7 linked regions of the Danio rerio genome follow. The protein of the gene in region 4 interacts with the protein of the main gene of each other region in a pairwise test. Links are inferred from orthologs where the notes say so. Each region holds a gene or a part of one and is shown on either strand. Other genes may lie near its edges.

Region 1 (3,946 bases), on a different chromosome or scaffold from region 4:
CATCAGATGGACAGGACTGTGTTTTGTCTGTCTTTCCTCCCTGTTTCTGCTTTTATTTCAACTTCACACTCAAGAGACAGAAAAACGCAGTCCTGTCCAGCTGATGGCACTAAAATGTTTGTTATAACAGCACAAACCAGCACAAATCAGGCACAAACGAATGACACTAGTTTGGTGTGATTTCGAGAAAATGGGGTGGAGAGTGATGCCACGGCTCCCGAAATATTGTTTATATCTAAACGAGACAAACAGATATAGTGTTTGTTTTAACGGCACAAATCCAGCACAAACAACCTGTGCTGATTTGAAGTGATTTGAGCAAGATGGGGTGGAAAGTGACATTGAACGGTCAAAAGAAATAATGATTAATATCTCAGACCCCAAACCAACACAAACATTAATTCTTGCACAAATATAGCACAAACGAATGGCATAGTTTTGGGGATTATTTGTTTTTATGGGGTGCCAACTTCATGGAGGTCAATTTGATTTGATAAAAAAACGAAATTATATGCACGAATAAATATTTTTCATTTTTGGGTGAACTTACCCTTTATTGAATGTCTAAATCTCCTAATGTTCACATTATTAGATAATAAAATAAGAACATTTGAATGAGATCTGCTAATCAGCTCAAACAAACTGTGCAATAGGCGAAATATTCTCCAACATGGCCCTGAAAAAAATCCAATAAACGTAATGAATCATTTAATTTCATTATGTTTACTCGTAATGATCTTATGCCAGTTATTGTTCTCAATGTAAGGCAAGGTCTGGTGAGCAACGTGCTGAGATTTGTGGGGAAAATGCTGACAGACAGTCCTGTCGACAAGGAACGTGTTTTTATCATATGCTTCTACCTTACTGATGACACAATAGCTGTCTTTGAACCTCCACAGAGAAACTCAGGTATTGTCAGCCTATTCATATAAATTCAGTTTAGGAAAATAAACATTTCAATTTTACTGTATGTTTTTATATTGCTCTTGTGATGAAGGTGTGATCGGGGGTAAGTTCTTAGAGAGGGGGCGAGTGAAGAAGCCAGGACAGGAGCTGTTTAAAAGTGAGATGTCGGAGTATTTCACTGCTCAGGATTTGTATGTTGGAGCTCATCTGCTTCTGAACAGTCAACCTTTCCAGCTGGTGGATGCTGACGATTTTACATTCAGCTATATGGAGCAGCATGCAGATGAGGTAACACACAAAAACCATCTCGTTGCTTCAATTTTCAGCCTGTTTTAATTAATGTTGCTGAGCAAAATATCAAGATATATGTCTCTATATAGAATCTCCATTAAAAGTCCTTCACCTATTTTTCTCAATTATTTAGTTCCCCAAGGCCAACATTGGCACCATCATTAGCAAGGTAAAATCCATCAGTGAGGAACAGCAGAAGAAAGTAAAACAGTTTTTCACCATGAGTGACCCAAGCAGCACTGGCTCTCTTCCATATGAGTCATTCAGGTAAGGAGCTGGCCAAAAATACACAAATAAAAGACACATTACATCTTGTTCCCGCCTGCCATATATTATATAGATATACCGAGTGAGATTCTGGATCAGTTTCACTGATTGTGAGATTTAATTATGGGCAATGTTATTTGCAGAAGTTTTCTTTAAAGGGGTTGGTGCAACAGACCTGCAGGGAAAAAATGTTGAGATTACATTTGAGTTAAGCCGCAAACATTTAGATGACCAGCAGGTTTTGTGCATTTGTGATCCACATACAGTACCCGCTGTCAGATTTAAAGCACTAAAACCAGCAAACAGTGTAAAACGGGTTGACATGATTGATGTATAGAGGACAGGGATATTAACACTCAGAAAATAGAGATAGAAATTAAGAGCAATAAAATGTGACAAGTTCAGTTGGTCTAACATGTTTTATAAGCTTTTCTCAAGCTATGAACTGATAAAAACACAATGAGCAATTGAATGCTAATTGCACTGACCAAACAGAACCAAATTACTAATGTAAACACTTTCATTACTACATTACATCATTACTACATAAGCTTTAAGTACAAAGCTGGTAAAATGAAATGCAGAAAAAGCCTTGTTTTTGTGATCTAGGTGGGTGTTAATGGGATGTGACATCACGTGAAAACTCTGAACAGAACTGACAGGAAAAATCAAGGACAAGTCATGCCAGGTTAAGCATGGATTATGTTTAGAAATAAGTGAACTCTATAGTTAATACATTACTACTGGGTATTTTAAGTTACAAAACAACAAGTTGCTTTAATTAAATTACTTAAAAATTAACTCGTCACTGAAAAACTACAGTAACGAATTAGGTGATTTAATTAGTTACTTGCAGTATTCATTCATTAATTAATTTTCTGTTCGGCTTAGTCCCTTTATTAATCAGGGGTCGCCTCAGCGGACTGAACCACCAATTTATCCAGCATGTGTTTTACGCAGCTGATGCCCTTCCAGCTGCAACCCATCACCGGAAAACTTATATAGTTTAGTAAATACTGAAAATACAGTTGAAGTCAGAATTATTAGCAATAATTCAGTTTTTGGTGTACTATCCCTTTAATCACTGTCATGTAATGTTTCAAAGACACATGCATATACAGTTGAAGTCAGAATTATTAAACCCCCTGAATTATTAGCCCCCCTGTTTATTTTTTCCCCAATTTCTGTTCAATAGAGGGATGATTTTTTAACACATTTCTTAACATAATAGTTTTAGTAACTGATCTCTAATTACTGATTTATTTTATCTTTGTCATGATGACATTAAATATTTTACTAGATATCTTTCAAGACACTTCCATACAGCTTAAAGTGACATTTAAAAGCTTAACTAAGTTAATTAGATAAACTAGGCAGGTTACAGTAATTAGGCAAGTTATTGTATAATGCAGAGGTGTCAAATCCAGTTCTTGGAAGGCCGCAGCCATGCATAATTTAATTCCAACTTTGCTTCAACACACTTACCTGTATAGGTTTTAATCAAGCCTAAAGGACTCAGTTAGTTTGATCAGGTGTTTGATTAAGGATTGGCACTAAAATGTGCAAAGCTGCGGCCCTCTAGGAACTGGATTTGATGTGGTATAATGGTTTGTTCTGTAGACTATAGAAAAATATATAGCTTAAAGGGGCTAGTAATTTTGACCCTAAAATGGTTCATAACAAATTTAAACTGCTTTTATTCGAGCAGAAAAAATATTATCAGGCCTACTGTGAAAATTTACTTGCTGTGTTAAACATAATTTGGGAAATATTTTAAAAGAAACAAAATTCAAAATGGGGCTAATAATTCTGACTTTAACTGTACATTCAGGAGTTCTGTAAGTCAGTTCAGAAAAGCAGATTATTTGTATTTTGCTATATTAATAGATTTTGCATATTAATTATATTTTAAACTAAAGGTTATGCTTATTAATACAGCTGCATTCTTAAAAAACACTGATTTGAGTCAGAAAACAGTTCAGGAAAATATATAAATTCAGAAAAGCAGAATAATACATATTCCAATTTTTTTATTTATTTTTTTATTTTTACAAATTTCAATTTTCAAATTTTCCCTATTTAGGTATTTTGTAAAAAATAATTATTTTTCAGCTATAGAAAGCTACATTTGTCAGACAATTACACATGCTGAAGAAACAATTAAAATGTTAATAAAATATATTGCGTGTACTCTATGAAAGCAGATGTCTGAAACAATTCGAAATACTTTTGTAATTCTGATTACTAAAGAATGTGATGCTTTTTATTAAAATGCTTAAGCCTTTCATGTTTTTATTAAGCGAAAAGAATGAAGTTATTTTTATTCTATATGAATTGAGTTTTTTTTATTCAGTCATTTAATTCTTTATTTAGTAATTAAATTACTTATCAGACATAGTAATTAGAAATGTTATTCAAATACAATTTAAATAATGTAATAGCTGCCAATTATTTACTTTTTTAATTTAACAAACATATCACT
Region 2 (4,428 bases), on a different chromosome or scaffold from region 4:
ATGTTAAAATTCTAGCAAATCCAGATTTTTGCTAATTCGTCAAGTCAAAGCATAAAGATTGAGGAAAAGGGATAGCAGTAAACAGAGCGTATGCGAATTAAATTATGATTAAAGGGGACAGAGAGCTCTCTGATTAACCCACTGCTTGCGTAACCACTCAGGATTTGATCTGCTAAAACGATCCATCAGACTGCAGAGAACATTAGAAATGGGACATTGGGAGGATAAACATGATTCCAGGTAAATGAAAATCCCTGTGTGTATTATGCAGAAAGAACATTTACAAAATGTTCCCATAGTGAATTACTCCCACCAGAAGCAGCTGATCACAGAAATTCTGGATAAGGATGAAAAGTCGAGAAAAACGCACTTGATTGATTAAAATAGCTCCAGTAGACTTGATGAAATTCACACACTCAGAAAAGGAATATGTTCAACTTAAAGCCGTCTAAGGTTTCTTCAAATCAATAATACAACGCACATAAATAATGAGAAGAAATCAATGAATAAATAATTGCATTTTGGATTAAATGGAGGTTTTCCAGTAGCAGAGAGACTCATCAGTTACACTCTTCCAGCTTGAGGACTGATCGGTCAAAAACAACACTTAATTCCCTGCAGAATCTACAGTAACATACTGGCAGCAATTTACCAGTAACTTACTGTAAATCAAGTACAGCAAATAGACTGTATTTACATTTACAGCACCATTTATCTTGTATTTACAGATATGTATGTATAATAGTTTTGGGTCAATAGGCAATGCCATCGTCGATCGACAAAGGCCGAGAAACATCCTCTGCCCCGCCCCCGTCGCTAGAATTACACACTCAGGCCCCATTTAGACCAATACATCTTAGTATTAAAATGGCATTTTAGAACGAAAACGATCCACATCCACTGGCGTTTTATCTAGCACTTCTGAAAACATACTGCTGAACACACATGGCATGTGCTGCAGCATTTGCGCACGTCTGAGCTCTAGGCAGTCAGTGGGTGCTTTGAGCACAAAATCCCAGAGAGCAGTGCACTTTGGACAATTTATTAAAGATGTACCGCTGGATTGCATCTTATAGATGTTAAACTTGATATTTAATTAATCTTGTCTCTATCTAACGACTCCTCTGTCTTTTGAATCTATCAGGTAACACAGCGTCAGTACACTGCTTCAGTCTTTCGCTTTCACGCTTGTACTTTTAGTAAATTGTAATTCTAGCTTAAACCTCAGATACTGTTGGATGGTTCCTGTTGGTTGTGCACCTTTTTTTTTACCAACCAAGTTTTTCGACGCCATTATAATGACACAGATCACTCTGCCTATTCATGCCAGAATCCCGCAAAAAAAAATATTGACCGGTTGGTCATTTATGTGTAATTTATCTTTATTCATTTATGATTTGGTTATGTATAAAACAAAGACTATGCAGGTCAGGTAGTCGCAACGGGTGGCTACAAATTATTAATTTGTTATGAATAAATAAATGATTCACTGATGCCATCGTCCATCACGATGTTTCACATTAGACATCGTACGATGCCAAATCGGTCAACATCGCCCAACCCTAATGTAAATCTTTACTGTAGAATATACACTAATTTTCACAATGCAGCATTAAAATACAGTAACATACTGCATGAGTGTCCTACAGTAAAATACAGTTCACATTACAGCTAAATACTGTGTAATTTACAAAAATCGTTAACAGTGAACATTAAACTGGATGGCTGCAATGCAAACAGCCTTCAACTAACAACTTTCTTTACTTTAACCTCCATGTTCACGCTCACCTGTGCTATCTTCCTCCTCTCCAGCACATTATCCTGATGAACAGATCTTCTTTTACTCGCTCTGCTGCTGAATCCGTCAAGGCATCTATCAACGTCACTCTGCCCATGCACTCTTGAAGTCTCTAGTGGTCCAGAACTTCCAGGAATGTGGTGTTTGTTTCTCTTCTTGCGTCCGTGTTTGCCTACATCTGGTTTGTGCTTCTCTGGGCTTTCGATAGCTTTGGGTTCAACGGGATCCAGGACTCGGGGTCTCCTAAACAGGTTGTGAAGAGACAGCAGCACCAAGGTGCACAGAACATACATGCTGGCTTGACTACTGGAGACGTCTCCACACACACATTTAGACGGAGTATCCTTTAAAAGCGATTCTGGATGATCCCATTTCAGGGTGAGCGCAAGCACTGAACACTATCTTCTGGTTAAAGTTACAGTCGTAATATAAACTCTTCCGAATTGCGCAGCAATGAGCTTTATCGGTCGACGTGAAGGTGATCAGCCAGTTTAGAATCAAGTATTGTTGAGTTCTTGCATGTCTTCCCACCACTGTTTTCACTCAAACAACAACTCCTGGAAGGTAAGACCGTGTTATTCCAACACCTTCGAGCTCCAGAACTCTCACTTAGGCTTGATAATCTGTCTGTGATCTGATCAGCAAATGAGATGGCTTTCTCATCTCCCAATCTCGTTCAAGAGAGAATGAGGGAGGGACGACTACCGCACATCTGCTTTTAAACCCCACAAAGCCATTTTAACCTACCTGGACACGTCTATAAAGATATCGCCTGATAAACAATGTAAGCCAACAGCATGATAAATGCTTCTTTAATCAGGATACATAATATTTAGGTGCTTATCTTCCCCATCTGCACGCCTCTTCTTTGGAGATCTTCCAGAAGATTACAGGTGTATTCCAGTGAAATTCGATCGAAAGAGTAACCATGAAACTCTCAGTCGTAATCTCCATTGGCACTTTGACAAATCATCACCTCCACTTGCGTCAGTAATGGTTTTATTGTATTTTTACAGTCACTGGATTGCAGGACAAAACTCACAGGTCAGACCACTCCTTTCATAATGCCTTGTTTTGATAGTCTTTATCCCCGTTTTTAGGTCCAAATGACTGGGCAAACTCCAACCATTCATAACCCATCCAACTCCTGCGATGCTGGTGTAGTCCTATAACTCCGAGAGAGAAAATGCTTTTCACTCTTTCGCCCTCCCTTTTCTCATTGTGTCCATCTGTCACTGCAGTCGGACAGCTAAGCGTCTCTTAGCCGATGATGTAACAACAGTGTTTGCATCTATGCAAAATAAGGAAAATCAACTCAAAACATGTTTTAAATGCACTGCTGAGGATAAAGAAGCTGGTCTGTGATTGGTCGCCTCCGTGGTAAGATGACCCTGTTGAACTGCGTCCTACAAAGCCATCCATCATGCTCCTGCTGTGTGACAATGGATAGAACATAATATGGAAACAGACAACTATGGGAATGTGGCGCAGTGAGACCTGACAGTGCCAATCTAGAGTGATCAATTAGGATTCGGGGACATAGAAGATCGGCGCTGTCTTGTGCTGGTACTTCAGGGGGGAAAAATTGAATCATGTTTGAAGTGTGTGCGCAAGACAAACAAAAGGCCATCTTCTGGTTCATTACCCTTTTTAGGGGCCGTTCACATGCTTCAGACCAAGGGAAAACAACAAGAGTGCCTGTTCGAACCAAATTAACCAGTATAGAAGTAAGTGCTCAAACTAAAGTGGCAGGGCTGGGCAAATCTACAAACAGAAAACTACAAACAAACAACAATTTTTTTTATATACAGTTGAAATCAGAATTATTAGCCCCCCTGAATTATTAACCTCCCTGTTTTATTATTATTATTATTGATTATTATTATTTTTTATTTGTTTATTTTATTTTTTAAACATAATAGGTTTAAGAACTCATTTTTAATAACTGATTTATTTTATCCTTGTCATGAAGACAGTAAATAATATTTGACTAGATATTTTTAAAGACACTTCTAAACAGCTTAGTGACATTTAAAGGCTTAACTAGGTTAATTACAGTAGGTTAACTACGCAGGTTAGAGTAATTAGGAAAGTTATTGTATAACGATGGTTTGTTCTGTAGACTATCGGAAAAAATAGCTTAAAGGGGCTAATAATTTTGTCCTTAAATTGGTAGTTAAAAAATTAATAACTGCTTTTATTCTAGCCGAAAATAAGACTCTCAAAAAGACAAAATATTATCAGACATACTGTGAAAATGTCTTTGCTTTGTTAAACATCATTTTGGAAATATTTAAAAAAGAAAAAAAACATCAACAAGGGCTAATAATTCTGACTTCAACTGTATATAAGACAATACCAAAATGATGATACAAGTTGAATATTCTCTTCTTCAAAGGGGGCCTCTTACACTCATTTAAACAAGATGTAAAATAAGTCCCTATAGTGTTTGTGTGTGTGTGTGTGTGTGTGTGTGTGTGTGTGTGTGTGTGTGTGTGTGTGTGTGTTTGTGAAGTATCAGCTGAAAATACCACAAAAATAATTTTTTATAATGCTTTGAAACAGCAAGTTTAAGGCTGTGATCCAAATTGTGTCGTTTTGGTGACTGTCGCTTTAAATTCAAATGAGAA
Region 3 (3,946 bases), on a different chromosome or scaffold from region 4:
TTTAGATCAGGGATGCCCAAACACAGTCCTGGAGGGCCGATGTCCTACAGATTTTAGCTCCAACTTGTTTCAACACACCTGCAAGGATGTTTCTAGAAAGCCTAGTATGAGATTGATTAGCTAGCCCAGGTGCGTCTAATTGAGATTGGAACTAAACTTTGCAGGACACCGGCCCTCCAGGACCAAGTATGGGCACCCCTGGTTTAGATGCATGTCACCGATGAGAAGATGATTGATATTTACTGTACAATGACCGAAATGGCCTTAAACACCCAGCAGGCACAAGACGTCGACATGCCGTCAGATTGAAATTGTGCCCTAACGTCGTGGAAACGTTGCATTTTGTTTGGGAATGAATATCAGGTTTACATCAGAGCTCAACGTCAGTGTCCAACCTAAAACCAACCAAATAATAACGTCAAATAATGTTACAGCTTGACGTTGTGTCGACGTTACTACTATGACATCTATCAGACGTTGAATTTTGGTTTCTTGCCATAACTGATGAATAAATTTCAGTATTTGACATTAATAGGATGTTGGTTTAAGATGTTGGCTCGGCATTGGATTTTGGTCACTTTCTAACAACCTAAAATCAACCAAATATCAACGTCATTTGATGTCATTATTGGACATCCAAATAACGTTGTCCTTATGACGCTGGCTAGACATTGAATTTTGGTCACCTGACATCACAACCTAAATCTAACCTAATATTAACATCTTATGACATTGTGTTACTAATGGGCAATGACTAAATGCACTACAGAATGTTACATTTACACACACATCCACAAATGACATGTAAATGCATCAACTTTTAACAGCATAATACTCACTACTCTTGAGTACTTTTAAAAGGGCTACTTTTTACTCCTACTTTTAGTATAATTTACAACAGGTACTTTTACTCTACTCACACTACATTTTTAGCCAAGTAATGGTACTTTTACTTAAATATGCTTTTTCAGTACTCTTTCCACCACTGGGTACTATATAATATAAAATTGTGCTTTTTTTTTCTTGAATATTTATTCCGGTATTCATTTGCTTTTGATTTATAGGTCTGTCTCTTGGTGCTCCTACTGCTGCCTCCATTGCTTCCACAACTGCTATTAATTTTGGAATTAAAACTTCAGGCATGTACAATTGTTTCTATTGCAATTATTATAATTAATAAAATTTAAAAAAATTTTTAAATGGTTGTATAACATGTTTTTTTTTCTTGTTTAGCTACTCCAGCCCCAGCCAGCACTGCGCTATCTAGTCAATCCTCGACAGCTCCAGTGTCCTCTCTGTTTGCTAATCCTATAGCCTCAACTCCAGTCACAGGATTCACATGTGAGTTCCTATTCCAGCTCTTGTCATAAAGAAAATTATTGTTCAGTCATTTTCCCAATCAAACCTGCATGTAAACTGCATAGTTATACACATAGATCACACATGTGATTGTGTACATATCAGGCAGTTATTACTTGAGGATTACTTGATTACTCATGAAATATGGTCTGATCTTTTTACACATCACATTTATAAAGCACTTACCAAATTGCTTACTGACAGTGCAGGTGGGAAAAAGTGAAACTGACTTCTCTAAAAGTTAACTGTAGGACTGCAGGCGCCCTCTAGTGTCTTGCTTAACTTATTTTGGCAGATCCAAAAGAGAACTGTGCTATCAGGAAATAATGATCAACTGCAATAGATTTGTGTCACAGGATGGTCAAATGTAGGACAAAGGCCTTATTAGGACCTAAAGAAAAGATTTGTTGGCGGGTTTAAAGCTAAAAGCTGATATAAACGATCCTCTCTCATGATTCTGTATAATCAAAACATGGTTATTAACAAGCATAAGGTTAATAATGATTACAATGTTAATAGAACTAAGGGCTGCTTATGGGAAAAATCATAATCACGATTATTTTGGTCATAATTGTAATCACGATTATTCAAAACGATTATCAGTTGAAGTCAAAATTCTTCATCCTCCTGTGAATTTATTTTTATATATAAATATTTCCCAAATGATGTTTAACAGAGGGGTTTTTACAGGATTTCCTATGAATTTTTCTTCTTCTGGAGTAGGGTTGTAACAATATACCGGTATGACGGTTTACCACGATTTGAACGTGCACGATTATCATACCATGAACAATTGCATATCAACGGTTTTAACCCTTAAAGACCGAGACAGCCGCCCGTGGCAAAAAATAAGTATTGCTCTTAAATGTTTAATAACTTTTGATCCACTGATCCGATTCATACAATTCAAAGATTGGCATAAAGAAGAGAATCTCAGCTTTCCAGTGCTGTATCACATAACATTCGCGGACTTTCAGAGGCTCCGGAATCAGTGCGGTTACGTCATCAACATTTGACAACGCTGATTTGACAAAGAAACGCTCGTCACTGTGTCTCCGGACAAACCAGACATGATACATTGATGCATTATCCCTCCTCCATGCCCAGATTGGTTCAAACTCGCTATATCACAACCAATAAGCATAGGTTTCGCTTTTGTTTGTGGACCAAAAACGAGCTTTTTGAACAACACGGAATGAAAGAAAGGCATACATTTTTGCGCGGCTAAATAAAACGCAAAAAAAAAAAGTTTTGCATGAAATAATTCTCATACTAAGTACTTTTGCATGCACAGCAGCACAGAAACATGACAAAACAGTGACACAGCAAAGACGAAGTGCTGCTCTTGCTGTTTTCAAAAGACGCAAATGAAGATGCAGCTGTTTGTCTGCATTGCAGACAACCAAATCCATATCCACAGACAACCATATCCATGCTGGCACATAAAACCTAAGGATGTTCCATATTGAATCTAGTTTCGTTATGTAACTATTTATAGTATAGTAAACATTTATATCTATTTTTTACTGAGGATTTGCACCATGTTTATTTGGACTTTATTTGGACTTTGACACATTATTTATTGTTTTCTTATTTTTTTATTTGTTCATTGCAAGTGGTGTTTATAGTAACTAAAAATATATTATTTGGAAAAAGTCAAATTTGCTTCACTGTTCTATTATTTTGTAACATTTGTAACATACCGTATACCGCGAAACCGTCAAACCGTGGTATTGTTTTAGACGATTATCATACCGTGAAAAATTCATACCGTTACAACCCTATTCTGGAGAAAGGCTTATTTGTTTTATTTCAGCTAGAATAAAAGCAGGTTTGAATATTTTGAAACCTATAATAGCTCGATATTATTAGCCCCTTTAAGCAATATATATGTTTGATTGTCTGCAGAAGAAACTACTGTTATACAATGACTTATCTATTTACCCTAATTAAGCCTTTGAATGTCACTGAATACTAGTATCTTGAAGAATATCTATAAATATGTGTAAAATATTATGTGCTGTCATCATAGCAAAGATAAAAGTAATCAGTTTTTAGAAATGAGTTATTAAATGTGTTGTTTAAACTGTGCTTTAAGCATCTTCACTGTATTTTTGATTTTATTATTGATTAATAATAAAAACAGTCGGCAGCAGCAGGAATATCGCACACTGTCTTTTTAAGAATAGTGCGGCTCATGGGTTTCTCTTTCATGTGTCTTTTGATTCTCAACTTGTTAGTTTATTACACACATGGGGGTTAATATAAATAATCAATAAACACCACGCTCTGACACAAATGTGCATGTATTTGACCATTAAAGCGCTCACATTAAGCTCGCGTTAGATGTGTGTGTGCTCTGCTGTCCGAGGCTAAGCGCGGCGCGGCGAGCGCGCAAACAAACACACATGCTACCTGTCCGAGGCCAGACACAGCGCGCACACACACAACAGCACGTGCTCTTTTGTAGTTTTAAAATTATGAATGATGCGCATCTCGTGCTGCAAAAGTTACATTAGAGCACATGCTTTTAGTCATTATCACGTGGAACTTAGCTTTGCAGAGGCAGAGTTTTCACACGTGTACA
Region 4 (3,946 bases):
GCATGTTCAGGGAATACAGCAGCAGTTGGAGAGTGTTCTGCTGGAGAACATTCAGCTGAAGGAGCGCAATAAGAGCAGCGAGGCATCACTGAATCATATCAGTGAAACAGCACACAGGTAACACACACACACAATCACACCCCTTGAGCCAAACCTTGAATCTGTAGTCTCTTTGAATTAAACAAGTCTCCTGAATACCAACATGAGCGTCCTGATTAGATTAAAGATGACTGTTCCCCTGAAGTCAGCTCATCCATAAACATCTGTCTCTCTCTCTGTGTTATCTTTCTCTCTCGGCCTCTCTCATCAGAGTGATGTCAGCCGTGGAATTAAAGGCAGGTCAGATGGAAGCAGTTCAGTCCAGTGTAAGTCAGCTGAACCACAGACTCGCCTTTGCCGCCAAGCGTCTGGACACAGTACATGGTGAGCGTGTCATCTGTGTCAGTGTGTGTGTGTGTGTGTGTGTAAGTGTGTTGCACTTTTAATAACTTGTTGTTTGTCTGCAGGGCTGCTGTTGAGAAAAGAAGCTCTGTGGAGAACCAAGCAAGCTACAAGATGTCCAGAGCCTGCAGTGTTGGAGAGGTACAGAATAGTGACATTAAAAATCATAGTTAACATTGTGGTGTTTGATTTTGCAGTGACCTCTTTATAAGTAATTATCAGATTATGAGATATTGAGGTTAATAATCTTGAGAGTAATATTAATAAATTTATTTTAAATGTAATGAGTGAGTTTAGATGTTATCTCACAATAAATATATTATTATTATTATTATTATTATTATTATTATTATTAGTGGTGTAACAGAAAACAAATCTCACAGTTCGAATCACACGATAATTTTTCGGATTACCAAAAAAGGGAAGAGACAAATGTCATTTGCTTTTTATTCATACATAAATATTGCTGCAAAATCCATTGCTTTTTACAAACAGAACTGAGAACCTGTAATTAATAAAAAATAAAAAGCTAGAAAAATAGTAAAATATTCAATATAAAAAAATGGTCTTTGCTACGGTTGCTGATAATGCTAAATTTAGCAGTCTAGCATCTTGTACAACATATATTTATTTTCTATAATTCAATCATTTTCTTTTTGGCTTAGTCTCATTTTTTAATCTGGGGTCATTGCAGCGGGAAGAACCGCCAACTTATCCAGCACATGTTTTATGCAGCAGATGCACTTTCATGCTGCAACCTATTACTGGGAAACACCGATACACTTTCATTCACACACATACACTACGGAAAAGTTCACCTGAACCACATGCCTTTGGACTGGGGGAAACCGGAGCACCCGGAGGAAACCCATGTGAACACAGGGAGAACATGCAAACTACACACAGTAATGTCAACTGACCCAGCCGAGGCTTGAACCAGCAACCTTCTTGCTGTGTGGCGACCGCACTACCTACTGCTCGACTGCGTCATCTTATATTCAATTAATGATTCAACAATTCACACATAAAACTTCGTTTAATTATAGGTGGATCATTTTTAAGAACCCATTCAGTGACATCATTTTAATTGTTGTTTGTCACCTCCCATTAGTTACGCAATGTAATTGCTACAACATTCACCAGCTTCAAGTTCCGTTACACAGTGATTTAATTCTTTACGGTAAAAATCTGTGGTAATATCTGAACTATAAATAGTTAAACTGTATTAACTAACTGAAAAAAGTTTAAAAACTGAATCTCTCAATCAAGCGTAGATTTTAATGCATTAATAAACATGCAAATCATCATTATTATTGTTGCACGGGTTTGAATTAAGATTACAATTTTTTAATGATTGACAATGCAACTTTACACTGAATGCATTAATACAGGCTTAACAAACAGTGACAAAAAATATTTTTTAAATGCTTTCATGCACTTCAAGGACGCAGGAAGCGATCTTTCTGCAATTGTTATAAATGTTGGATTAAACTACAAGTTCCAAAAAGTTAATATTCCTTGGGTCACATGCATTCCAAACTGTGGGTTGTGGTCCGTACACACCTTATTTGCATTTTCAAATCAATCAAAAATATTATCAGGTTTAAAAAAAAAAGTTATGGTTATCAAGGGCCAAGCTGCGAAGCTGTGAAAGCACCTATTGTTATTCTTCCGGTTCCTATTCTTCTTCTTCTTGTTCTTCTGCCGAGATTTGAATGGTAGTCTATATAGGCTTTTGTTCAAAAGTTATGAAATATGGCACACTTATAGAAGACAAGCTCAATATTAATCGTAGCAAATTTGGACCATCTAACTCAAACTTTCCAGCACCACCACTTGTTCAAAACTGCAATGCTAATAACTTTTAAACCGTAAGCTGCAGAATCAACATACAAATTTACCCTGAATGCTTGACTTATTGCAATCCAAATTTCAAAAATAGGGTTTAGTTTTTTTCTATCTTTTAATAGTTTGTAGAACCTTTGTTTTCGAACGCGTGCTAGACGGTTTGTTAAATTTTCACCAAAATTGGCCCAGATCATCACTAGATCATGCTGGCAAAAAGTTATGGAATTCAAGACGATAACTTAAATTGTTGCTGAATAATGTGCAATTCAATTTGTCAAAATGACATGCCAAATCATACTCAAGGCAACATCTCGACAATGCTTAACTCTAAGTTTGGTGTGTGTTATGACAACTATGATCTGAGGTTGCCTGCACAGTTTCGTTGCAGTTCCACCTAGTGGTTTGGAGATATGAAAAACAGCTACTTTTGCTTGTATCTCGTGAATGCTCTCACCAAATTTCACAACATTACATTCAGAGTGACATTCTGAGTTGGATGATGTTAAATTTCCCCATGTTTGCCATTTGGTGTCACCATTTTGAATTTTGTTGAAAAATGCTATATTTTACGAATGCATTGAGGTGTTGTCACAATCTTCAACACAATTCTTGCTGTGAGGCGAACGTGCTAACCATTGTGCCACCGTGCAGCGTGCTCTTGATATATTCCTTGGATAATTTAGCATAAATTGATACCAAATTTTCCATACTTGGTGAAACTTCCTGTTTGCCATTTTAAATTTCGCTTGAAAATGCTATTTTTCTTAACTCCTACTACACTGTTGGGCCGATTTTTCACTAAATTTAACTCAGATCATCTTTATTATTGTTATTATATATTAATAATAACAAAAAAAAACAGATAATTAACTACTTAGATTTGTAATGAACATTTTAGTACAACTACTAAATTAGGTTATATAGGTCACCAATAATACATATACCTAAGATTAACCATATAGGAAAATAGGGGACAAGAATGTAGTATACAACAGTTTTTCATCTCATAGCTTGACATACAATTTCAAGCACTGCACTGTTATTTAATATGGCCATCATTCTTTTGTGTTGCAGCTTTATTAATAGTCTCAAAGCTGAGGTGGAGATGTTGAGCACAGAGAGGGACACGCTCGCACAGGAGCTCAAACGAACACCAGAGCTCATTCAGGCCTCGCTTTCTGAGCTACAGCAGCAGCGTACGTACACGAAACCCCAAGCCGAATACTGAACATCTGCAGAATGTAAAAAAGAGATGTGATTCCGTGTTGCAGGAGACAGAGATCTGAGCCACCTAAGGGAAGCTCTGTCACACAGCAGGGAGGAGCTGGAGGCATCAGAATCAAGCCGAATGGAGACACTGAGGCACTGTGAAGAACAAGAGGGGACCATCGCGGAGCTCCGCACTGAGGCCCAGAGACTCCAGCAGCAGTGTGACTCAGGTGTGTGTGAAGAACAGCTTCCCCTCCCCCCCGCTGAAAGCATTTGGTATTCACTTCACAGATTCCTTCTTTCTTTCATTCTCATTGCTAATAGTCTATTAACACTGTGTTTAACACTTGGGGAATTCTGCTGACTTCAATTGCTCGTGGCTGCAGGCTAATCATGCAACTCTGCTTGCAATCGCTCGTGTTCTCTGGTGAAGAATCGTTTGTGCTTT
Region 5 (4,658 bases), on a different chromosome or scaffold from region 4:
AAGGTCATAGAGGTCTGTGTTTTCTGAAGCAGGGAGTGAATGGGCAGTTTCATGCTCTGCAACTGTCCCATTAGACATTGAAACTTCCTGGAGGTGGCCAAGTCTGTCCCTCATAGCTGAAGTAGTTGACTGAAAGATACAAAACGTATTTTATCTAAGAATTCATTATATATGCAGCATAGTTATATACATGGACTGCAGTTACTAAAGTACACTATATGGGCCCAACAAACAGCCCTTGTAAACAGAATAACCTGCCCGTCAAAGCGTCTGACGTAATCTACGTGCCCGTGTACCTGCCAGACAAGAAAGACCAGTTTCTACGAACACGTTTTAAAAATATAAGCTTTTTTTTAACTCTTTCTCTTACAGTGCGCTTCATCATTGTTTTACTACTTGATCAGGAGTGCGTTGTATGGTCTTTAGATATATAGATTCATTAAAAACAGAACGGATTACAGAAAATTATAATCAATCCCAAATCGTGCAATTGTAATATTAGCTCAATGTATAAAATGACTCTTATTAATGAAACTATTTGCCACTTGGAATAACACAAATTTTTCAAGCATTACTATGACTGTGGCCTACCTCAAATTATATCCTTCTCTGTCCCTTCCTCCTAAAATCAGCTTAATACAAAAGCCAATCCGTCCGTGAAAATAACAAATGCATTTAACGTAACAGGACTTCACCTCTGCAGCCAGCGATGCACGAGTGAGGATGATGTCATAGACTCCGCCTTATATCAGGTGTGCAGTGATGACCAATGTGTCCGACAGAGGGCAGAAGAAATGCGGGGCCAGGGGAGAACCGAGCAAAGTAGAGCCTAAACACAGAACTGTCCCAAAGGCTTTTTCAACTGTTTAGTTACCACGAACGCCTTAAACATGATCATAATAAATTATATTTGTTAGTTACACATTTTGTAGGCCTATGCATTTTCTCTAAATAATTCCAACACTCTTGCGCCTTCTTGGGATCTCTAGACCCCAAGCAAAAAACCCTCGACTACTTCATTACAGCATTTCTTTTTTTTTTTTTAATTATGCAATTCACGAATAATATTATTTATACACTCACTGGCTGATTAAACTCTGGTGTCTCTAAATCATTTTGGACCAGCTTTTGGGTTTACAAAAGCTTCTGTAATTATTCGGTTCGGTTTCCTCATTTTTTACATTTTAATATTGCGTTAGGATAATTGTAAGAGAAAACAATTCTCAAAAGATAATTATAAAAAAAATTCAAATATAATGCAAAACAATTATTTAAATAATTATTATAATAACAGTAATAATAATTACATGATTGGTCTCTAATCTGACCACGAACAACACAAGTGCGCCTCAAGGAACAATATCAGATGCTTAATCATATTTTAAAGTTGTCTTCTCTTATTCTAGCCTATAAACAACGTATATACACATCATCATCATCATAGCTCTGAGGCCTAGACTACTGCATAGTTTTACTTAAACGCAGGCTAGTGAAAAGACATGGAAGACACGAAGAAGATCATCTGACCGCTGAGGAATTTCTTAAAACAGAGATGATGTCAAAAGTAACGAAACGCACGTCTGAAGACTATTCAGCGAACAGGTTTGGCGTCAAAGTTACGCCCTGCACCGCGCATTCCTTCACCCCCCCACTTGGGAGAGGAGGACATCAGCCGCCTCACTGCAGAGAGGATGGAGCTGTAGTACTGACATGACATGTCGACTTAATTCAAACTGCAAATCATTTGGACAAAAACATAAGGTAATGGACTTTTTTGTAGATGACATGGGACTTTGCTTTTCACATTTCAGCTCTACATTATGTTTTTATGGGCAATTGTTCATTATTAGGCTAATAAATTCATTATAATGTTGTCAGCATGTCTAAAAGAGTAGGCAAGAGATGAAACAAAACAACATTTAATTGTTCATAAAAAACTCATTTTAAAAGATATTATTTTAGACAGAAATATTTCTTGCTATGGTTACTAACTCACAAGAGTGGTCTGTCGTGATCAGGTGGTATTTTTGTACAAATGTAGAACAACTTATTTTCACTTTTAGCATAAATTGCACATTGTTTCTTTTGACCCCATCAGTAGAGACAAAAGTAACACATGGATGGTTTAAAAGTAACACAATATGCTAAATATACTTGCTTAACTTTGTTTATAATAAATATTTCTGTCTATTACTTTAATATGTTAACTTGCGAACGTATTTTGTCCTTAATTTATTTTTTCCAAAATTTGTTAAATGACATCTTCATTATAAATTTAAATTTCAGCTCTATCAAATGTTTCAAAAGTAACCCAACAATCCAAAATTAAATAATTTAGAAGTGTGCCACATGTTTATCTGTAGCTAAAGCTTTAGTGACTCAAATAAAGTCTTATATATATATATATATATATATATATTATCTCTTTTTAATACGCTTTGCAGTAAAATACAAATAACTAAAGAGCATATTATCTTTACAGAAACAAAAGCTGAAGTATCAATTCAATCCATTCAAACTTGTTTGGTGAGTGACGCCAGTCAGAAATAGTTTCACGGATAAACTTGTTAGACTTGTGACTTTTTCGTGGTAGATAAGGAAGTGTTATCTGCCTTTTACAGTCAGAAGGTATTTTTGTTCCACAATGCCTAAAAACAAGGACAGCTTGAGGGAAAATAATATTGCAAATTATAAAATCCCAATTTTATATATTTTTGTGTCTATTGAATGAGTGTAAAGAGAACCAGAACTAAAATTGTTATTTACTTTTTGGTGGTCCAGAATAAATTAATCAAGACAAGCAAACTACACTTTTAAATAAAACAAAAAAAAAATGAGTTTGTATGGCTGGTTTCACAAATAATCTTTAATAAAAGCATTATTTGTAGTAAAAAATACTAAAGATTTTAAAAATGTTATTAACAATAAGAAAAAAAAATATTTTAAGAATTGTTTACTGAAAGGTTCTTTTTAGGAACCAAAAATAATGGTTGCAGGGCAAAAACCTCCTTCTGAAATTATTCAGAATTATTTTTAATTCTGTTTATTATTTTTAAGAGTGTACCAACTTGAACACAATCTGAAACTCACTATTTCAGGGGTCTCATTGATTGTTGCTGCGTTTTGTTCTGTTTTTTTGTGTTCACACTTATTGATATTAACTAGAGCAGAGTTTCTTTACATCAAACCAACCCTGTCAAGATGAACCCATACTTAATGTCCTTTGCTCTTCATTCTTTCTTATAGCAATCATGAGGGACCGACTAAATCATCTTCTGACCATCTCAGAGACCGACAGTCATCTAGAGGAGGTAGAATCTGACTCTTTCAGCAATGTGGATCTGGAGGAGAACTTCAGCCAGCAGGCTGTCATTTTTGACAATGGTGAAGATATGGAGTCTGTGCTTGACGAGGCTCAAGACACCAGACGTGAGATTCAGCTCATCCGCCTCGAGGTCAAGCGGCTCAGGGACCAAAACACACGAATACTCAACGAACCGACACGTACAAGTTATGTAAAGCGTGACGCCAATGCCATCGCAGGTGACATCAAGACCCGTGGGGTGGACGTTTTGGCACGTCTACAAAAGATGGACGCCCACGCCAAAGAGCTGCAAGAGGAGCATGGCATCAACTCAGCAGTAGCCAGAATCGCCCGAACACAGTATGCCACCCTGAGCAACAACTTCCAAGATGCAATGACCGAGTACAATGATGCTGAGATGAATCACAAGGAATCATGCAAGCGTCACATTCAACGACAAATGGAGATCGTCGGTCGAGAGGTGTCAGGTGACCAGATAGAGGAGATGCTGGAGAACGGTGAGTGGAACGTCTTTAACGATAACATCATGTCAGAGGGCAAAACAGCTCGCTCTGCACTCAACCAGATCGAGCATCGACATCGGGAACTGCTGGAGCTGGAAAACCGACTCAACAGCCTTCATGAAGTCTTCCTGGATGTGGCGATGCTTGTGGAGGAGCAAGGACCCATGACAGACTACATCTTAAACAATGTGCAGAAAACTGATGCTGTGCTTGGGGAAGTGCTTATCAAACTGGCACAGGCCAAAAGACATGATAATAACAACCCCTTCAAGAAAATGTTCTGTGGATGCTTTCCTTGTGCTAAAATCTGAGTGAATGTAAACAGACTTGTGGACCTGAGCTTCTGATGACCTTTGAGTGTCATTTAAAAATGAAAAGAAAGAGATGTGTAATGAAAAAGATCACAGATTTCTGACGCAAAGCTTTGGTCTATAAAGAACTGTTTGATAGGCTACTCTTGAAGTGAACAGCAGTCGTGCTAAGAGTACATTAAACACCTAACACACAACTGAAAAAAATGAAATGACGTTCTCTACAACTATACAACATTTAGTCCTCACTACTTGTCTTCTTTTCCTTTTGCAGACTGATACAAACTGTAAAAATGGTAAATCACATTTAAGTGTTTGAGGTCAACAAAAGCAATGGAGAATTAAATCTGATATTTGACTAGATATTGTGTGGGATATTCATAGGCTATAATTTATTATTATATGTGAGATTCTTATTAATCTAACTGAACATGCACTTACATTAATCCGGAATATGAAGAATTTGTCATGTCTTGCCATATTTGCAAAGCATGTTTATCATATTTTGTTTGTTTTGGC
Region 6 (3,946 bases), on a different chromosome or scaffold from region 4:
ATTATTTAAAAAATCTAATATTACTATGGGAAAGCATTTAAGCAGAATTTAATAATGACGACAGTAATCAATGCATTACATGAAATAAATTAAATCACACTGGTTTTAATTTGGTAATTAATTTTTACATCAAGATCCACAACAGCAATGCACTAAACACTAAGAAATCTGCCGTTTGAGTTTTTTTTATTGATAACGTTCTCAAAATGATTCATGTTCACACTGATTGGCTAAAATGACACAATGCTGTATTAAGCAACAGTAGCCTAACAACTGTCAATTTTACTAGTATGTCAAAAACACTTTACCCAGTCATTGTTGTTTTGATGATAAAATATTTGTCTCTATATAAATGTAACAAAAGCACACACGCACAATAATTTTTTGATATATTACATGAATACGAAAATTGTACATTTTAAAAATTGTGCATTTTGATTAACATTTTCAATCACTGAAGCAAACATTGTCTCACTGATGAATTGATGCCTCCACCTGAAATATGGCACATATATACTAAAATCATATCCCCAAAAAAGCAAAAATGTTTATTTATGTACCAGGTGTCTAAAGCCATGGGCACATTGCACCATAGACTTCGTGGATTGTCTGCATGCGAATGCGGCAAACTGGTAATGCAAGCTTGTGTTTCGCAGTTCTCTGCGTTGCAAAGTTCAAGCTTGGTAAAATCGCATCACGTGACTGCGTGAGACCAATTGAAGATCAAAACATGACCTCTCTTTGAAGAAATGGAGAGAATTTAAAATATGGATCAATAGCTTCCTTTTCTTAATGTCCATTCATCCTGTTTATCCCGCCCCATTTCAGAATTCAGCAGAATTTCGCAGGCTCAAACTCTATTGTGACTGAGGCAAAAGTCAGGTTCTAAAGGGCTGCAGCTCTGCACAGTTTAGTTCCAACCCTAATTAAACACACCTGATCAAACTAATTGAGTGTTTTAGGTTTGCTTGATAACGACTGGAACTAAACTCCGCAGGGCTGAAGCCCTTCAATAATTGTGTTTGACGCCCCTGATTTATGTGTTCATTTATCTGAAATGCTCTGTTTGTTTGCAGATGTACACTAATTTGAGCTGCTTTTTTTGTTTTGTTTTTACTTCGTGTGTCTGTTCTAGGACTCATCATCAGGAGGGTTTTCTTCAGGAGATGTGCTGATTCCCTTGGCTGATGAATATGATCCCATGTTTCCCAATGACTATGAGAAAGTGCTGAAGAGACACAGAGAGGAACGACAAAAACAGAGAGAACAAGAGCGACAGAAGGAGATTGAGGAGAGAGAGAAGTAAATATCCAAAAAATTAACATACACTTCAAGAACGTATGCGATGCCTATTTTTTTTGCACATTAGCCATGTTTCCATCTAAAGATGGGAATTAGACTTTTTTTCTCACAAACCTGTAATATTGCATAAAACATTTGTGATTAAAACTTAGTTTTCATCCAGTGAGTGAGAATGAACAAAATCATAACTTCCTGATAAACAGCCTGACACAGAAACAGTTTCTTCCCTTAGGCAATCCATCTCATGAACACCTTATGATAGTAAATGAGAAACAAACATCACTACTTGCTATGCACTTTTTATACACATATACACTTATTTAACAACATATTTACATGCCAATTTGCACATAACAGCTGCACATGTAACATTGTATATAGTAATATACCTGTACCTACACTTGTCAATTTGTATATTTGCATTCACTACTTACTACTATTTTTAAAATATATTTATTATGTGTTTTTTTTGTCCTGTCCCTGTAATTCTGTTGCATTGTTGATGCATTTCGCCATTTTTTAATGCAATCGTCCAAAATGTAAAAAAAATGGATGGAAATATGGCTACTGATATTTCTCATTTACTCATTTACTACATCAAGAAAGAATAGCTTTTATTACTATTTTATTACTTTTATTTTATTGCCAGACCTGTAGCCACTAGTTTTATATAGTCATATGAATGCTATCGAGCTCTGTAGTACAGGTTGACATGAAAATGTACCGGATCTGCTTTGTTTTTGTTTTGATGATTTTGCCTCTGTTAAATAGGAAACGTAAGGAGAGGCACGAAGGAGGAGGTGGTGGTGGAGCTCCAAGTGGATTCTCACGCTTTCCAACAGAAGGCGAATCAGATGAGGAGGAGGACTATGAGAGGGAAAAGAGAAAGAGGAGTACGTGCAGCTTTTCTTTGTTGCTCTTCAGTCTCACTTTTAAAGGGGTCATAAAACTGAGAAATCAAAATGTTGACATATTTTGACATCTTAATTGAATTGATTAAATTAAACGAAAGATCGTTTACACAGATATTTGCAGATATTTTGGGCAAACTGGGGTCCAGCTGAAGAGGTGGTCTCAGTCCGCTTTATAAACAAATCAGATTATTTCATAAATGCGCGTTATACCCATTGTATTGCCCATAGTAAACACACACTCTCCTCTGATGCGGAATACATCGAAAAGCATTTTATTTATTTATATATTTTATCTAGAATTTACATTTTGGGTGAACAAATCCTTTAAGGCGTGAATGTGATCTGACACATTTTCAAGTTATCAGGATCTCATAGTTTAAATCGTGCATCCGTGGTGTCTGCCATTGCTAAGCAACCATCAACCACACTCTCCAGTGAACCACTTCAACAGACCCCAGTCTATGCCCCAGCTGTAGCTCAGATACCGGTTTTGTTTATGAATAAAAGAAAAACGTTACAGCGTTTTGCATTTGACTAACTAGCTTACTGTTATAACTGAAATGTATAGAATATACATTTCATTAACCTGTTGCCTAAAGCAAAATAATTTTAGCCTAGAGCACCATCTGCTGTTAAAAACCAGCCTAGAGTGTCATTAGCTTCTAGCCTAGAGCGCCATCTGCTGTTAAAATCTAGCCTAGAGAGCCTCTAGAGTTTAAAAACAAAAAAATTAAACGATGAATAGACTTGGGCCTATTGGGCATGGTGGTTCGTAGCTTGCTATCAACTGTTTTCTCAGAATATGACAAGCTGACAAATCATTTGGGTGTTTGAGTGTTCTGTATTTGTCTGAGATAATTAGTCTACCGAAATGTGTATATTCCTTACAAGCTGAAGCTGATCAGTCAATTCTTATCATGTGACTCGCGGCATTCATTCAACTAAGTGCATCTTGAAGGCGTAAGCGCGTCATGCTGCTTGTGCGCGCAAGCTACGCACCTCCTTTGGGGACAATGACCGTGCTCAAACTCTAGAAAAGATGCAATATGCGAACGACTCCAAAAAGGCCACCATCATTTGTGATGTGCATCAGTTGATCTTCTTACACAAAGATGCTGGAATCACCTGATTTGTTAACAAATGGGTTGCGGATTTATGCTTTGGCAGATTGCGGGTCCATCACTGGGCCTTTTCCACTTAGCAAAGAAACTTTCCACAGATGTTTGTTTCTTACTCACTTTGCTGCTTTTGGGTTAAATTTGGGTGCGGTCTATGGCCCGGTGGTAGAGGTTATTTGGCCTCGAGCAGGGATTCTCAAAAGGTAAGCCGCGGCCCACTAGTGGGCATCAGCGATCCTGCAGGTGGGCCGTGAGATAGCTAAGAATAACTCTCAATATTACACTGTAAATTTTGGATTTCATTAATAATATGCTGTATTAAAATGACCTAAGTAATGAACTTTCTTCAGTTCTCTAATTGATTACCTCGAACTTATCGCAAAACACCCTTATGATTGCATGTTTCAACTACTACAGCAAGTCTGTTCATTCATAAACTATGCGTGAAGTGAAAGTGAAAGTCTCTCTTTGTGTATTTTTGTTTGAACTATTTAATGTATTTGCATAGTTGTCCAGATTAATGTCCTGTCACTGTATGTGTTGGACGCGCGCCCAAGGTTCTCCATACAGCAAAACTTGCATATTAGCTTTACAGCTGGCAAAGCAGTTCAC
Region 7 (3,946 bases), on a different chromosome or scaffold from region 4:
TAAATAAAAACAGAATTTTAATTTATGGGTGAGCTAACCCTCTAAAGACACTGACACAAATATTTAATCAGCCAATCCCATGGTAGCAACTAAGTGAATTTGGGCATGTGGACATAGTCAAGGTAATTTGCTGAGTTTTAAACAAGCAGCTGAATAGGTAAGAAAGGTGATTGAAGTGAATACAGTGAGCAGTAGATACAGTAGGGGAAATAAATATTGAACATGTTGTTTTTTCTGGGAACTAATATTTCTAAAGGAGCTAAAATTGGATTAGATTTTGGTAAAAACCAAAACAATACAAACATAAAAAAATGTAAAACTAAAACATTACTTATGTGTAATAACAATGAAATAACGCAAGGAGAAAGTACTGAACTACTAAAACGCATTTAATACTTTATGTAAGAGGCTTTTTTGATAAAGGCTACAATGATGAAGGGCAGAGGGTTGCTGAAGAACTACTGAGAGATTTCAGCTGCTGTCTGAACCTTCACTGCCTTTCTACTCCTCCATTTCTTCATGTGTTCAATACTTTTACCCTGCGTCATTTAATTTTTATTGTGAATAACTTAATTTATAAATTAATTAGATTTTTTTTCTTCGCATATATGGATTTCTTTGGTTGTTGCCAACACTCTGTGAAAATTTCAAGTCAACAGCACCTTTAGAGTGTTTTATGGGAAAAAACTGTAACGTGTTCAATATTTATTTTCCCTGCTGTATTGATTATAGATGAGAATAGAAGGGGTTTGAGCTAATAGAATTTGAAGTAACCACTTGTTACAATGGTCTGCAGAAGAGCCTCTCTAAAAACAGTACACATCAAACCTTGAAGCAGATGAGCTACAGCAGAAAACTCAGGTGACACTAATATCAGCTGAGAACAGCAAAGCCTATAGTTTAAATGACACAACTAAATTGGAAGATAGAAGATTGTGAAAAGAATGGTTTGATGAGAGTTTGTTCTGAACTTATCGGATGGTCTACCCAGAATTTGGTCTAAGAGAAAGCAAAGATCCATTATGCCTTGGATCAACAGTTCAGTCTGTAGTGGCACAGTGGTGTATAGGACATTTTTCTGGCACTGACTGTGCCCCTTAGTGCAAAAGAGAATCATTTAAATGCCACAGCCTGAGTGCTGTTGCTTACCAGGTCCATCCCTTTATGACCATCATGGCCCTATCTTGTGATGGCTTTTTCCAGCAACATAATGCACCATGCCACTACGCTCAAATAACCTCAAAGTGAGTTCTTGAACCTCTTAAACCAATTTGGGAAGTGGGGGATTGAGATATTTGCATAATGGATATCAAATCTGCAGTAACTGTGGGATACTTTCATATCAGTAAGGATCACAATCTATGAAGTGGTTGATGGGAGTATGTTTCGAAAGCTATGAAATAGTAACCCTAAAAAAAAAGTACTCATTAGCTACTCACCCTCAAGTTTTATTATTATTTTCTATCATTAATATAAGTTCTATTATTCTTTCTTCTGCTGAACCCAAAAGAAGATTTTTCACAGAAAGCTGAAAACCTGTAACCATCAACTTCTGTAGTTGAAAAACAAATACTATGGAAGTAAACGTTTAAAGGTTTCCAGCTTTCTTCAAAATATTTTCTTTTGTGTTCAACAGAACACAAAACTCGAGAGTAAATGATGACAGAATTTTCCTTTTTGGGTAAACTATCCCTTTAACTTTTAGTATCTTCCATTCACTCTTGTTGGTATATCATAACTTGCAGTGAGTTATTCATTACAGTTTTTCCCAAAACCTCTATGAGCGTTTAGAAAAATGCTTACGCTCTCAACACTGTCTAGCTGTGTCTTCTGTTTCATACTCTTCTCCACCTGCGGAGAGGTGGTGTGGAGCCTGGAGCACCTGCGTCACCAGCAGCCGCAGGGAGATGGAGGAACTGGGACCTTATGCTATCCGTCACTTTTATATTTGTCCGACGCGACTTCACCGCTCTGTCCTTGACAGGATCACAGACACAGCCAAGGCCTCCAACATTGAGCGGACGGAGGTGGGTTACGAGAGCATGGCCCACTTCATCATCAACACGGAGGATGTGGCCAACATGCTGAGACATATCAACTTCCGGACAGGTAACAGCTTCACACTCAAACAATGACATTTGCTGTTTGTTCAAACTACTTATTTCAATTGTGCTGAAACAACAATTCTTTAGGGGTTTTTGGGAACAATTTTATTGTTTTATGTTCATTCTACACAAAAACAAATAAGTTAACTCAATTCCTTCATATTCTCCCAACACAAATCGGTTGTGTGGAAGCCAGCATTTTTTACAGAGCACAGCTGTGATGTCTGATTACATTGCAATGTATGTTTCTTTCAGGTAAAGATGAGGAAGACAGTGGTGATGAAGCTCCTGAAGGCCTGACTACCTCAACTGGTCAAAGTGGTGAATCAGGGACGCGCTAACTTATGTTTAAACCCAAGGTTAGTTTCAAAGATGCATCTGTAAAATGGTAGTTGACCTTAATATTGGCTGGTCAATAGTTTGTTACTTAACATTTGTATAACTTTCTTTTTTAGAGCTCATTGGCCATCATTGTTTAGACCATTTTGAGGGATATAAACAATAAGTCTTTATGTATTTCCTGTTTTATATCTTTCATTTCCAAAGCTTCTTAAAATCCAGAAAGCTCCACAAATTGATAACTTTTTTCAATGACAGTTAACATTAGTTATGACTTAATTGCCTCTTGTTAAAGTTCTAAAAAAGATTTAAGACAAGCAGAAACTGTTCATGGAAGATTTATATCGCCATATTGATACATGAAAGAGAAATCCTTTAAAGGAGACCTATTGTGCAAAAATCTCTTTTATAAACCAAGCGGCAACATCTCGTGAAGCAAATACAGAAGTAGATGAAACTGCAATTCATCGAAATTCTTCTAGGCCTGGCTCCACAATAGAATAAATTTCTATTAAGCCCAATGTTAAAATGGCCAACTTTACAGCAGAAAAAGGGGTTTACAGCCTGGTACAAAGAACAATTTTTGATTCATATAGCTAATATTACCCTTCATGACAACTGTGAGGAGGTGAATTTTTTATAAGTCACCCATTTAATTTACACTGAGTTATATTAAGTCTGCATAATTCAGGTCTCGCTGGTTGCCATCACTTCACCTCAGCTGATTCCGGCTGATTAGCCGCTGAACTTGGCATATACATAGTAGTTTTGTTTTGTTTTATGTGGCTTTACACAGTGAGTTGCTTTTTGGAATTATTTCTTACAATAATCAGATGATATGGCATGCTGTGTGCACTTAATTGTGCTCACTTCACATGGCCTCCATTTCCCAAGTGGGTCAAATTATATACTTATATACCATCTCTATAAATGTATCGGTTTTATTTAAGATCATTCATCATTTATATTTTCTTTAGACCTGTAATGCACTCCAGAATCAGACAGATTGATTAGCTGTAGGCTCTAAAACAGTCAATTGAAACACTGTAATACTGTTATGCCTGGATTTCATCAATAGCTTTGCATTTACTAACATAGACTATATTTGAAGTGTTTGGAAGTAATTTGGGGTTTCCTCCTGTAGAAAATGTCATAAGAACAATGCTTAGTGGCTCAGTGTATTACAACAGTGTTTTTAAATGTCTAAACAGTTTATTGATTTAGTGTACAACCAAGCACATGTGGTCAGAACACAAACAAGTCACAGACAATGAATTATTAAGCGTTTCTCCCACAGAAAATACTGTCTAGGTAAAATGCTAGCAGGCGTCTGTAGCTCCGCTCATGCGTTGCCTCTTTGCCCTTATTTGGTCACTCCCGGTCAGTGCGATGATGCGCAAACAAAATGTTGATGGGTGGCCACGCCTACTTGTAGCATCTTTTGCGTTCCTCAGAAACCTATGGGTGACGTCACGGATACTACGTCCATATCTTTTACAGTC

The links.
Region 1: the proteins of si:dkeyp-20g2.1 (region 4) and efhc2 interact in binary tests that used the Homo sapiens proteins (3 or more experiments, as listed by UniProt). The link is inferred for Danio rerio from reciprocal best matches to the Homo sapiens genes CCHCR1 and EFHC2.
Region 2: the proteins of si:dkeyp-20g2.1 (region 4) and kifc3 interact in binary tests that used the Homo sapiens proteins (3 or more experiments, as listed by UniProt). The link is inferred for Danio rerio from reciprocal best matches to the Homo sapiens genes CCHCR1 and KIFC3.
Region 3: the proteins of si:dkeyp-20g2.1 (region 4) and nup62l interact in binary tests that used the Homo sapiens proteins (3 or more experiments, as listed by UniProt). The link is inferred for Danio rerio from reciprocal best matches to the Homo sapiens genes CCHCR1 and NUP62.
Region 5: the proteins of si:dkeyp-20g2.1 (region 4) and stx11b.1 interact in binary tests that used the Homo sapiens proteins (3 or more experiments, as listed by UniProt). The link is inferred for Danio rerio from reciprocal best matches to the Homo sapiens genes CCHCR1 and STX11.
Region 6: the proteins of si:dkeyp-20g2.1 (region 4) and rbm17 interact in binary tests that used the Homo sapiens proteins (3 or more experiments, as listed by UniProt). The link is inferred for Danio rerio from reciprocal best matches to the Homo sapiens genes CCHCR1 and RBM17.
Region 7: the proteins of si:dkeyp-20g2.1 (region 4) and trim54 interact in binary tests that used the Homo sapiens proteins (3 or more experiments, as listed by UniProt). The link is inferred for Danio rerio from reciprocal best matches to the Homo sapiens genes CCHCR1 and TRIM54.

What each region holds. Positions count from the first base shown.
Region 1 is NC_133184.1:35,458,862-35,462,807, reverse strand, and holds part of efhc2 (EF-hand domain-containing family member C2), read left to right. Parts: intron 1-766; coding exon 767-909; intron 910-997; coding exon 998-1,194; intron 1,195-1,330; coding exon 1,331-1,464; intron 1,465-3,946. UniProt on the Homo sapiens protein: Microtubule inner protein (MIP) part of the dynein-decorated doublet microtubules (DMTs) in cilia axoneme, which is required for motile cilia beating.
Region 2 is NC_133193.1:48,507,692-48,512,119, reverse strand, and holds the start of kifc3 (kinesin-like protein KIFC3), read right to left. Parts: upstream 2,967-4,428; 5' UTR 2,092-2,966; coding exon 1,789-2,091; intron 1-1,788. UniProt on the Homo sapiens protein: Minus-end microtubule-dependent motor protein. Involved in apically targeted transport. Required for zonula adherens maintenance.
Region 3 is NC_133189.1:11,200,921-11,204,866, forward strand, and holds part of nup62l (nucleoporin 62 like), read left to right. Parts: intron 1-1,064; coding exon 1,065-1,139; intron 1,140-1,233; coding exon 1,234-1,341; exon of another isoform or gene 1,342-1,363; intron 1,364-3,946. UniProt on the Homo sapiens protein: Essential component of the nuclear pore complex. The N-terminal is probably involved in nucleocytoplasmic transport.
Region 4 is NC_133180.1:24,143,998-24,147,943, reverse strand, and holds part of si:dkeyp-20g2.1 (coiled-coil alpha-helical rod protein 1), read left to right. Parts: intron 1-10; coding exon 11-117; intron 118-310; coding exon 311-423; intron 424-506; coding exon 507-582; intron 583-3,363; coding exon 3,364-3,485; intron 3,486-3,560; coding exon 3,561-3,728; intron 3,729-3,946. UniProt on the Homo sapiens protein: May be a regulator of keratinocyte proliferation or differentiation.
Region 5 is NC_133195.1:29,251,764-29,256,421, forward strand, and holds the start of stx11b.1 (syntaxin-11b.1), read left to right. Parts: upstream 1-1,719; 5' UTR 1,720-1,761; intron 1,762-3,246; 5' UTR 3,247-3,251; coding exon 3,252-4,139; 3' UTR 4,140-4,658. Other genes in the region: stx11b.2 (syntaxin-11b.2), read right to left, coding at 1-114. UniProt on the Homo sapiens protein: SNARE that acts to regulate protein transport between late endosomes and the trans-Golgi network.
Region 6 is NC_133179.1:26,162,443-26,166,388, reverse strand, and holds part of rbm17 (splicing factor 45), read left to right. Parts: intron 1-1,135; coding exon 1,136-1,302; intron 1,303-2,073; coding exon 2,074-2,195; intron 2,196-3,946. UniProt on the Homo sapiens protein: Splice factor that binds to the single-stranded 3'AG at the exon/intron border and promotes its utilization in the second catalytic step. Involved in the regulation of alternative splicing and the utilization of cryptic splice sites.
Region 7 is NC_133195.1:42,014,690-42,018,635, reverse strand, and holds part of trim54 (tripartite motif-containing protein 54), read left to right. Parts: intron 1-1,984; coding exon 1,985-2,109; intron 2,110-2,360; coding exon 2,361-2,446; 3' UTR 2,447-2,464; intron 2,465-3,946. UniProt on the Homo sapiens protein: May bind and stabilize microtubules during myotubes formation.